Macaca mulatta: one gene and its partners. The protein of the gene in region 3 interacts with the protein of the main gene of each other region in a pairwise test. Links are inferred from orthologs where the notes say so. Each region holds a gene or a part of one and is shown on either strand. Other genes may lie near its edges.

Region 1 (4,218 bases), on a different chromosome or scaffold from region 3:
GCCAAGCTGTCTCCAGCATCAACTCCGAAAGATAGGAAAGGATCAGAAATCCAATTTCCTACATGAAAGTTGAAGCATTGCTTCTTTTTTTGTTCTCTTCTGTGGGATTTTTCCATTGTCCTCCCAAATGTGACAGTTTGCAAATACCCACATCTAGAAGCATATTCTATGAGAGAAAAGACGCCAATTTTAAAACTTGAGAAAGTACTTTAATTCTGTAGGCAAAGGTTCATCAAATCAGCTAGCACTAATCTTGACCAAATGGGTGAGTCAGCCTTGTCACTGAGAATTTTTTTTTTTTAATTTAGATGAAATTTCACATTTAAAAACATGGTAACTCCAAGCATTCTACCAAGAACAAAGAATAAGCATTGAAATAGTCACTTACAAGGACTTAACGACTTATATTAAACATATTTTACACTAAAGTACTAGATGGTCTCTCTAGTTCCTTTTAGCTCAAACCTTCCTTAATTCTTCGAGTAACTTCACCAGACTATTCTTTAAGTTTTAGTAATTACAAACAGAACCTGAATGAGAAAAACAATTCAGAATTAAAGTTGTTATCAGTAAGCCTAATTAAACAGTACAGACAGAAAGATGGCAGTAGAATAAAGCATTCTATATTAAGAGAAGGGAGAATATAATCAGTAGTTCGCAGCCTCATGAATGAAGCACAGCATACAACAAAGTCTGGCTGGGATTTGGGTAACTAACGTACCTAAACAGGGACAGACTGAGGCCCCTATTAATGGGATACTCTACTTGAAGTAACCAACCATACTCAGGAAAACATGTCAACCAGAGAGTGAATCCTCTAATTTTAGTGGGTCGTCTCCCTTACTGGCAGTTTTCCTACTTTCTATCTTAAAAGGGAATCCACACACTCAACACCGCAAAATGGTAAGACATCTCATCTCACCCCTGTATCGTGGGTCTGGCACTTCTGGGTCGCACAAAAGCCATCGTTCTAACTAGTGTGGGATTTATGCCCCCCATTCAGTGAAGGGCTGTCTGTGGCTGTTTGCAGGGTGCAGGCTCCCTACGTTGACTCTCGCTTCCTGTCACACAGTGGTATCACCGTGACGGACCCTTGACATGAACAAGTCTTTGACTGAAAAACTGATATGATCTGCAGCCAGTGAGGGGAAGCGTGGTGGCCCGGCGGAGTACCTCGGCAGGGTCAGCAGGGTGACACTGCGGGAAGGCACCTCTGCGGCCCCGAGCGAGGTGAGCAAGCCTTTCCTGAAGTTTTCCTTCCTTCCACAACATTAACCTGCCAAGCCTCCCACCCCCACCCCGCCCTATTAGGAAAAGTCACGCCGGCAGCTCACTGAAGGGCAGGGGGACAGCTCCTGGCGCCCCACAAAAGTTGGGCTCGGCGGCTGCCACAGCTTAAAGCTCCTGCAGGACAGTCGGCCCGACACCGCCTCCTCCGGGGGCAAACCTGAGCTGCCAACTTTCCCACTGCCCACTCCTCTGCGCACAGCAGCCCAAACTTTGCGGTTCGCCCACCGGCCGCACCCCGGGCGAGCGGCGGCGGCGCTGACCTTCACGCCAGCTCCGGGTCCCGCACTGGCCGCCGCCCGCCCCCCGAACCTCCCTGCCTCCCCTAGATCCCTCTGCCTGCCTCCCCCAACCCTCGTGGGAAGCCCGCGGTGTGGGGGGTGACGGCAGCAGCCCGATCCCGCGTATCACGACTGCCCACGACCCTCGGGGCTCCGGAGAGCCTGGGTCCCGGCGCCTCGGCTGCCCACTCACCATTGGTGAAGGGCTCCATTTTCCCCCCGCCGCGGCTCCTCACAGCCCGAGCGCCCGAGCTTCCTACTCCGAAAGCTGAGGCGGCCCAGCCGACTGAGCATGCCCAGCGCGGCCTCCAGGGGCTGCCAGGGAGGTGCCGCGAGGGGCGGCGCCGCTCCGCCGCTCGGTGGCTCCGCCGTTCCGGGTTTTCGTGGCGGCTGCAGAAAGAGCGAGGGAAGCAAGAGGGAAATGCACAGTCTAACCCCCGGCGGCTCAGCGGAGAGGCGAGGTGGGAGCGGGTGCGCGCTGGGGCGGGGCCTGGGCGGGGCCGGGAAAGCCCCGCCCCGTCACTGCCTGAAGTGGACCTGGCTGCGGCGCTCTCCCTGGCCGGGAACCGTGTTCAGTCACTCAACAATTGTGGAGCCCTACTGCGACCCGCCCGATTCTGGACGCCGAGACACCCGCACTGCGCCAGAAAACATGGTCCCAGTCCCAGGTGCGGACATTCCAGAAACAGACCATAAATAAACACAGAAGACACACGAGTGTAAAGTCAGTGCCCCGCTGCGCATTAAATCGGGGTGACGTGATGGCGAGTGAGTGGGTAGCTAATTCGGATGGCTTGGTGGGACACGGCCTCGCTGAGCAGGTGCCACTGAAGCCGAGGTCTGAAGGCAGAGCAGGAACCTGCGGGCGAAGGTCGCTATCCGAACTGCGAATCGCCGGTTTCCCTGGGGAGGTTGGCCGCCGAGGGATCACTTTTCGAAGGACCGAGGGAACGGGCGCTGTAGGTCTTTTCGGCAGGGATGCCCTCCCGCATCATAGTGCCCCGGGAGGGCGGTGAGGAGGAGACGGAAGAGAGGGCAGGGACCCCGCAGGGCCGAGGGCTCCCCGGGGTCCAGGGCCGAGGGCGCCCTGGGGTCCAGTCCCGGGGCTGGCGGCTGCGGGCGCGGCCTCTAGGTGCGGGCGGATAACAAAACCCGGCGCCGGATCGCCCGGGCCGGATCACAGGCGCCGCAGGATGTGGGCAGAAGGCCTGCCTGTTCCAAGCCTTAAATCAACACCTGCGGTTCCCGGGGGTGCCACCGCTGGGGCTCGCAGCAAGGCTCCGCGGCGCTAGGCCCGAGAAACCGAAACTCCCCTAGTCGCCCCTGCCCCCCAGCTCTCGCGCAATTGCCTCCAGCCCCGAGCCACCATTGTTTCCAGTGCCAAATCGGGCAGCCCCGCTAGCCTCCGGGGCCGAACCGCCAGGGGCCCCGTGAGCCCCCAGGAGGCTCTTCGGGGAAGGCTTCCTTTTCCCCCTCTCGGTCTGCGCATCGCCACCACCCTCGCTGCAGAGGCCGCCGCCCTCCCAGCGCGCCACCACCGCTTCCTCTGCCTCTTCCCCTCCCTCAGCCCCGGCCCCTGCATTGACTTGGCTCGGGCTGCGCCTCACTGCGCCTGCCAACTGTCACACGCTCCGAGGCTGTCAACAGCGGGGCGCCAGGGACAAACAAGCCGCGGCGAGCGCAAACAGCCTGCGCAAACAGGGACGGCCAGGGTGTTGTTTGACCAGCACTGGAATTGGAAACTAGGTTTCGAAGAAGTCAAATCGAAGTACAATATTGTATTTTAAACTGTCTGTTGTTATTACATCCCTCACAATCCACGCTCTACTTGAAACTTCCAGTGCATACCAACTGCACTTAGAAAAAAAAAAAATGAAACTCCTTGCCTAACTCTGGGACCTCATCAGCACATTCTCACCATGTTTTGGTCACAGAGGCCTTCATGCTGTTCCTGGAAGTCGCCAAGTTCCATCCATCATTGTTAATCATTCCTTTTGCTCGCTCTTCGCACAAGAGCCGTTTCTTTTGCTTAGTACTTTGCCTACTGATTCCATCTTGTCATTTAAGTCTCAGCTCAGATGTCACCTCTGCAAAGAACCCTTGTCTGACCATACATCTAAAATAGCCACACTCTATAAAGACTTGGCCTTGCTTTATTTCCTTCTCAGCCCTCATCACTGTCTGAAACAACGTTGTGGATTTGTTGTTTATTATCAGTCTCCCTCTCAAGAATGCAAGCTTTGTGAGGGCAGGGTCGTAATCCTTTTTAAAGCTGTATCCCCAATGCGTGGGTAAGTATACAATAAATAATTTTTGCGTGAATAAGTGAAGGACGTAGTGGTGTTTAGAGTTCACTTCCACTGCTGCAAGCCCTTCCAGTTAATGACTCCATACTGAATGATGTGTTTGATCAGTACAGAGAAGGTTTCTGTATCATATGATATGTCAGAGTTGCTGTCTTCCTAATGTGTGAAAGGTAATCAGAGCCCTTAGGCTGGCCCCTTGTGCTGGCATTTCAGAACCAAAAATAGTGAACCACAGGGGCTGATGTATCCCAGTTCAGATATTATACAGTATATGCAGAGCTAGATTTTGTTAACATACTTCACACATTGTATTGCTTAAATAAGATGCTCTTCTCTATATTTTA
Region 2 (4,307 bases), on a different chromosome or scaffold from region 3:
TGTTTTTTCCCCCTCTCTCTCTCTACCTTGTTTGGTTTTGGCCACTTAGATAGCCAGCATGGTGATATGGAAAGAGAACTGGTCTGAGTGGCCACTAAGGGGATCTGGGTTCAGATCCCATCTTTTCTAGGTCTCAGTCTTCTGTCTGTGTAGTGAGGAGTTTGGAATAATCTATAAGATTCCTTCCATATTCGAAGGAAAACTTCCTTTCTCTTAGTAACAGCTAGAAAATCATTGAGGTTTTGTGTGAAGACTAGGTAAAGTGGGGAGTTGTGGGGAGGTTTTTTGCTTTAGTAAACAGTTTGTTTTCTTTTGCAACTGGGCTCTGGGATCATTGCTCTGAGCAGTATCTCCTATTGAGCATAACAGATCCACTAGTTAAGAAGCCCTAATGGAGTACCCACTCTGGGTAGGACACAATGCCAAGCATTTCCACGGAACATAGTGGACACATCCCTGCTGTCAACATGCTCACAACCTCAGTAGGAAGACACAGATGGTTTGCTGGCCAACGTCATCTCAGCATACCCTGGTTTTTGCCAACACTGTTCCTTTCCAGGCCAGACTAATGGGCCCTCTAAGGGTTACACAATCTTGGAAGATTTTAACCTCACAAGGCCCGTAGACAGCAGAGGTGGCCTGGAGAAGCCAGGGAAGGCTTCCTGGACCAGATGAGGCTGTAGCCGAGTGATTTAATAGAATTGGAATAACACCAGAGAAAGAGAGAAGAGTGGGCACAACAGCCTTGCAGAAGAAGAGAGGACAGATATGTCTGTGTGTGTGTCAAAAGGATTGGCCTGTGTACTTGGCATATAATAAACTTTCAGTAAATATTTGGTGACTGATGGATGAATGAATGCTATAAGATAGCTGTAGAAGATATGTGTATATTGCCTAAGTTTGAACTGATATAGGTGTTAGCTTTGGAATTATTTTTATTTGTTTTATTTTAAGTTTTTTAGAGATAGGGTCTCCCTTTGTTGCCCAGGCTGGAGTACAATGGTGTGATCATAGCTTATTGCCGCTTTAAACTCCTGTGTTCAAGTAATCCTCCCATCTTTGCCTCCTGATTAGTTAGGACTACAGGTGTGCACCACCATGCCTGGCTAGTTTGTAAAGTTTTTGATAGAGACAGGGACTTGTCTCTATCAAAAAACTGGTCTCGAACTCCTGGCCTCAAGTGATCCTCCTGTCTTGGCCTTCCAAAGTGCTGGGATTACAGGTATGAGCCAACATGCCCAGCCTGGAATTGTTTTTAAAAATTATTTTTCTCTCTCTTACAAGTCAAGTGCAGAACAAAAAGAGCTAAACAAACAAAAACACAACAGCAAAAATCTCTGAATAAGTAGCTGTTGGCAACTTTACTATAAGAAGCTCTTAGCAACTTTACTATATGACTGAGGAAGAAGGACTTAATTTAGATCACTTTTAGCGACCTTGAGCCCACCCACCCTCCTTGTCCAGAGAGGGTCCCGGAGCACAGAGCAGTATGTCCCTTGACATGGCCCACCTGCTCTCTGGGAGAAGAGATCCTGCTGGCACAAGACAAAGGTTCCTTGAGGACAGTCACCTGGCCTGGCCGCCTGGAGGGCCCTTGCTCCCTGGCCTGGGGACGGTGCGCCTTGCCTTTCTCCTCTAGCTCCAGGTTCCTCCTCCTGAAGAACTGCTGCAGTCGAGCTCTCTGGAGCTGCTCTCTCTGCTGGATCCTCAGCGTCTTCCCCACCTGGCGGCAAGTGGTCACATTGGGACGGCAGCGGCGGCTTTCACGGGTCTCTTGCCTGCGCTCACACTTGGCCTCATAGCTCTCAGCCCACCGGGCCAAGCCAGGGGAGGGCCTGGGGTCTGGGCTGATCATGATGACCTCCAAGCACCTGTTGCGCTTGGCTTCCCGTTCCTGGAATAGATGCCTGGATCTGCCAAATGCCAAGAGGGAGGAGAAGGGGAGGGGTCAGAAGATGGGCAGAAAAATGACTATCTCCCTAGACCACGGGGCAGAAATAGCACAGAGTTCCATCCATGTGGGTTGAAAACTGAGGACATGGTGGTATCAAACTGGGAGTCAGGACTCTTGGGCTCAGTCTCTAATGAATGAATACAACCTTGTAACAGCGATTTCCTGCTCTTCTCTAGCTGATGTTTCCCCTTTGTAAAGTAAAACGGTCTCTATGGCTGCCACTTACTCCTTGACTGAACATCTTACCATGCCTCTAAGTCAGGGGAACATGATAAATAATTGATTAAAATAATAATGAGCTTATAGCCTCTTGGATGGCAGGTGTGTGTTCATTTTCCAGACTTCTAGAGAAACAGCCTAGTGAGCCCCTCTGCCCTCTTATCCCCCAGCTGAAAAAGAAAGTCAGTATCTTTACTGCTGTCTTGGTCCAAGCTGTTACTAACATAGTTGAGTGACACTTCTCAAGATCTGGAGGGCTAACCACACCCCACTCAGGTGGTGACCAGTCCTGTGACCAGCACCCGCTGCTCTCTTCTTGACTTTTAGCAACTAACTTATGAGTCTGGACCTGGCATGGTTTAGGAGGAAACCCTACCCTAATTCCTCCAACCTGCTGTGCTGACAATGGTCCATGGGCCCCCCACTCCAAGCTCAGGACTCGGCCGTGTCTCTCAGGTGCAGATCAAGTTCAATCAGTATTGACTGAGCATCTGCCACATGCCTAGTGCTGGCCTAAACCCATTTCAGAGCATCTGGCTCCAATACTCTTGGAGATGAGGGTTCCATTTCTTTAGGATCACCTTCTTGTCAGGGCTAATTCTGGTGCCAAGTCTGCTTTCCTTTGCCAAGACACAGATTGTGCCATCCAAACCCACAAGCACATGAATTAGACCTTAATAAGGCTGCTGCAAACAGAAAAGAAACAAAACAAAAATAGTAATCAGAAGTTTCCAGGGAGCCAGGCTTGGTGTAGGGGCCACAGGATGTCCCTCTGCATGGCTTTACCTGGTATTCACATAGCACTCAGACCCAAATCCCCTTTTCCTTCTCTGTGCCTTTCTCTTTCCTACTCTTCCCCACCTACCTTCTGCAGTTTATCCTACTAGAACCCTCTGGTCACTTTGCTGAGTTGGGCTGGACTTGGATTAGCTGGATCCTGAGCGTTGGAAATTCTGTGTCCTGCCTCCTCTGATCACTGGAGTCAGACCAGGGACTGATGAAGGAAGAGGGACTCCCCCTCACAGCTGCTGCTGCTTCTCTTCCTCCCACGACCTCATTACCCACCACCCTGGGAGGAGGGTATCTCAGCTTCACCAACCAGCAGGCGTTTGCTAGCTGTAACCCCTCGGGGTTTATTTATAGGCCAAACAGACTCAACAGGTAGCAGAGTCTCTGCCCCTATACTGGGACTTCGCTATCCTGGCTCAGTCTGGAATTCTCTGCAGGATTCTTGTTTTCTCTCTGATCCTACCACTCATTCCCCAGGGTCATGGGTGGTACAGTCTTCTTCCCTGAGAGGAGTTTTGGGTGGTCAAGCCCTGAACACTCAAATGCCTGACTCTTGAGGGTTGGAGGAGCGTACTCTGGTGTCAGGCAGCATTGATTCCAAACAGAAATGTGAGGTTGTTAATGTTTGTCCCCTACATACCCATTCTGAATGGCTCTCTTCTTTCTTTAGGTGTTTCTACTTACTCCTTCTTGGATAAGGGTGGGAGTGGGCATAGGGGATGGTCCCTTGACTTTCTCCCTGCCACTTTCTTTATTTAGAGACTTAAAAAAAAGGGTCTGGGCCAGGCGCGGTGGCTCAAGCCTGTAATCCCAGCACTTTGGGAGGCCGAGACGGGCGGATCACGAGGTCAGGAGATCGAGACCATCCTGGCTAACATGGTGAAACCCCATGTCTACTAAAAAATACAGAAAAAAAACTAGCCGGGCGAAGTGGCGGGTGCCTGTAGTCCCAGCTAGTCGGGAGGCTGAGGCAGGAGAATGGCGTGAACCCGAGAGGAGGAGCTTGCAGTGAGCTGAGATCCGGCCACTGCACTCCAGCCTGGGTGACAGAGCAAGACTCCGTCTCAAAAAAAAAAAAAAAAAAAAAAGGGTCTGACAGACCCATGTCTGTTGTTATAAATGACTGAATGGAAGAGACCCAGGATTATGTGCATGTGAACTCCATCTCTGGAACCTACACTCACAGCATCCCTGAGTCACAGCCCCTGGCTATTCTGCCATGGATTGCAGTGGAGAACCCTGGCTCTTGGAGTCACACTGTGTGGACTCATATCCTGGCTCTGTCACCTACTACCTGTGTGTGGTTTTAGGTAAGCTATTAAACATCTCTAAGCCCCAGTCTCTT
Region 3 (2,367 bases):
CAATTTCCTCTTGTGCAAATGAGAATGTTTCTGGTCCCTTTCAGGAGATTTCCTCTGATTGCATCCCTGCAACACAGTCCAGACATGCTCCCAGAACCACACACCCACAAGCACCCATTTGCATCAGCCCAACAGGAAGAACTTTGCAAAGCTGGGGCTGGGGACAGTGAGGCGGGGAAGGTGAAAGGGAGGAGGAAACCAGGGCACCTGGGGCAATGGCAGAGGCTCAGTCCCAGCCACAAGGTCTTTGTGAAGAGGCGCTGTTGTTCCTCAGTGCACCCCAACCCCACTGTTGCCCCAAATGAGTGCTGGACACAGGAACCTCAGCCACAGAGTTTTGCTGCTATGGCGGAACTTTTATTGAGCATGATGTTTGCGCAGAGCGTTGTGCACGAGGTGGAAGCAAACGAGGGAGGAAAACAAAGCCACACCCCTGCCCACAGAGGATGGAACAGAAGGGCCGCTGAGGTCAGGAAGGCAAGGTTGCCACTAGGTGTTACTGTGGCGTCCAGATGCCGCCATGCTCTTCACCCTTCAAAGGATGGCATCTCAGCCCATGCAGTCCTCCTCCACCTTCGCAGCAGCCAGGACCTCCCAATGCAGTGACCTGACCTCCCCAGGTAGGAGGCCTAACCAGAGCTGAAAATGACCCTGACGCTGCCTGAGGGCTGCTGGGAGATAAAAGGGGGATGGGCAATGGCGGCCCAGGGAAAGAGGAAAGAAAGAAGGGGAAGCAGGGAGGGCTCCAATACGGAGGCCGCGCGGGGGCGATCACTGGTTCATCCACAGCCACAGGTTGGCTATGCTGGCTGACACCAGCACGGCGATGATCAGGGTCTCCCTCTGGCGCCAGGTGGCGCCCTGCTCCTCCAGGGCGCGCAGACGCCGGTTGACTGCATATAGCTGCAGAGGAGCCAAAGGGAGGACTACTGAGCCAGGCTCTTCTCCAGAAGCCCACAGCTCAGCCATCGGAAAAGCATAAAGTTAAAGCAAGAAGGGGCTTGATTGCCCTTTGGCGGTGGAGCGGGGAGTGCCCCTAGTGAGAAGCAGGGGGCTGGGCCAGGTCCGCTGGACCAAAGACTTGGCTGCTGCGTCTGCAGTCGCTACTTCTGCCTTCTCCCTTGATGCTCACTTCCATTCTCTGGAAGAGGCCAGCCCATTCCAGCTGCTCCGGGGGGCCAAGGGAGGAAGGGTCTCCTCCTGAGAAGGTCTGGGTTTGATTTGAACAAAGGCGACCCCTCTCTCAGACTGTTGGGTATCACTCTCTCTCTGGACATAGAACACTTATCCTTGTATGTTCCCTCTTCCTTTACCTTTTATCGGCCCCTATTCCCTGCCAGCATCTCAGGGACAGCAGTAGGTTTGAGATTGGACATCTACCTGGGTCAGAGCCATGGGGATGAGGAGGAAAAGGAAGGGAATCTGCCCTACCTCCAGCGCTAAAGGGAAAGATGACTGTAAGGGGCTACAAGACCCCAGATGTTGAGCCCTGACTACTCCAAGGCATTGTGATTCTGCTTGCACCCACCAATTGGGTCCCTCCTCACCTGTCTTCTCATGACTTCCATCTCCAGTACATTGAGCTCTTCCAGGCTAGTCTGTGCCACTGCATCTGTACCTGGGTTGCTGGGAGAGAAAAAAGACAGAGGGTCAAAGCTGCTGGTGGCCCCGGCAGGACCTGGCAGTGAGCACAAGAAGGCAATGAGGTCAAGCAGGTAAGGTCAGGAACTTCTTGGACAGTGACTATGAGCCTCCAGTCCTCTCCCATGGTAAAGAGGGCCTAGGGCCTTGAGGACTGGGAGTCAGCCTGAGCTAGCCTGAGCCAGCCTGGCCCAGCCTGGCCCAGCCCAACTCGGCTAGCCCACAGAGCACTGGGATGCCCCAAATGGGCAGGGAGCCAGGGTGCTCATGGTCTCTGACAGGGAGGCATTCCAGGCCCTCATGACTCCGTCCTGGCCAAGCTGCTCACCAGCCCCTCCGCCCCACTCTGGGCCCTGTCTGAGCAGCCAGGGCCCACAGACCCTCAGCTCTTACCGATCATAATGGAAACGCATGCCTTGGAAATTGCCAGGGTACTCCTGGAGATGGGCATCCCCATGGCCTGATTCTCTCAGCATTCTGGGCATTGGCAGCTGGGACCCCTGAAGAAAGGAATGATCAGTAAAGTAGCCTGCCCAGCCCCACGTGAGTGGCTTCCCCAGTTTGCCCAGAACCAATGGTGCACCCCATGGGGAGTCACATGGTGCCTGGTCTCTGGAATCAAGGGCTGGCAGCTTCAGGCCTCTAGGAAAGCTTGGGAACTCCACACAGGCTGCTGGCCACCACCCCACCCGCACCATGCTCCTCGGTAGCTCTTGGTCATCCAGG

Evidence for each region. The genes of interacting proteins can lie anywhere in the genome.
Region 1: the proteins of FATE1 (region 3) and LNPEP interact in binary tests that used the Homo sapiens proteins (3 or more experiments, as listed by UniProt). The two-hybrid records come from large-scale screens. The link is inferred for Macaca mulatta from reciprocal best matches to the Homo sapiens genes FATE1 and LNPEP.
Region 2: the proteins of FATE1 (region 3) and TRAF3IP3 interact in binary tests that used the Homo sapiens proteins (3 or more experiments, as listed by UniProt). The two-hybrid records come from large-scale screens. The link is inferred for Macaca mulatta from reciprocal best matches to the Homo sapiens genes FATE1 and TRAF3IP3.

Annotation. Positions count from the first base shown.
Region 1 is NC_133411.1:103,290,606-103,294,823, reverse strand, and holds the start of LNPEP (leucyl-cystinyl aminopeptidase), read right to left. Parts: upstream 2,860-4,218; 5' UTR 1,781-2,859; coding exon 1,762-1,780; intron 1-1,761. UniProt on the Homo sapiens protein: Release of an N-terminal amino acid, cleaves before cysteine, leucine as well as other amino acids. Degrades peptide hormones such as oxytocin, vasopressin and angiotensin III, and plays a role in maintaining homeostasis during pregnancy.
Region 2 is NC_133406.1:67,512,615-67,516,921, reverse strand, and holds the start of TRAF3IP3 (TRAF3-interacting JNK-activating modulator), read right to left. Parts: upstream 2,860-4,307; 5' UTR 2,755-2,859; intron 1,914-2,754; coding exon of another isoform or gene 1,856-1,913; coding exon 1,511-1,855; intron 1-1,510. UniProt on the Homo sapiens protein: Adapter protein that plays essential roles in both innate and adaptive immunity. Plays a crucial role in the regulation of thymocyte development.
Region 3 is NC_133426.1:157,958,317-157,960,683, reverse strand, and holds the end of FATE1 (fetal and adult testis-expressed transcript protein), read right to left. Parts: intron 2,142-2,367; coding exon 2,035-2,141; intron 1,627-2,034; coding exon 1,548-1,626; intron 904-1,547; coding exon 772-903; 3' UTR 515-771; downstream 1-514. UniProt on the Homo sapiens protein: Involved in the regulation of endoplasmic reticulum (ER)-mitochondria coupling. Negatively regulates the ER-mitochondria distance and Ca(2+) transfer from ER to mitochondria possibly implicating it in the regulation of apoptosis.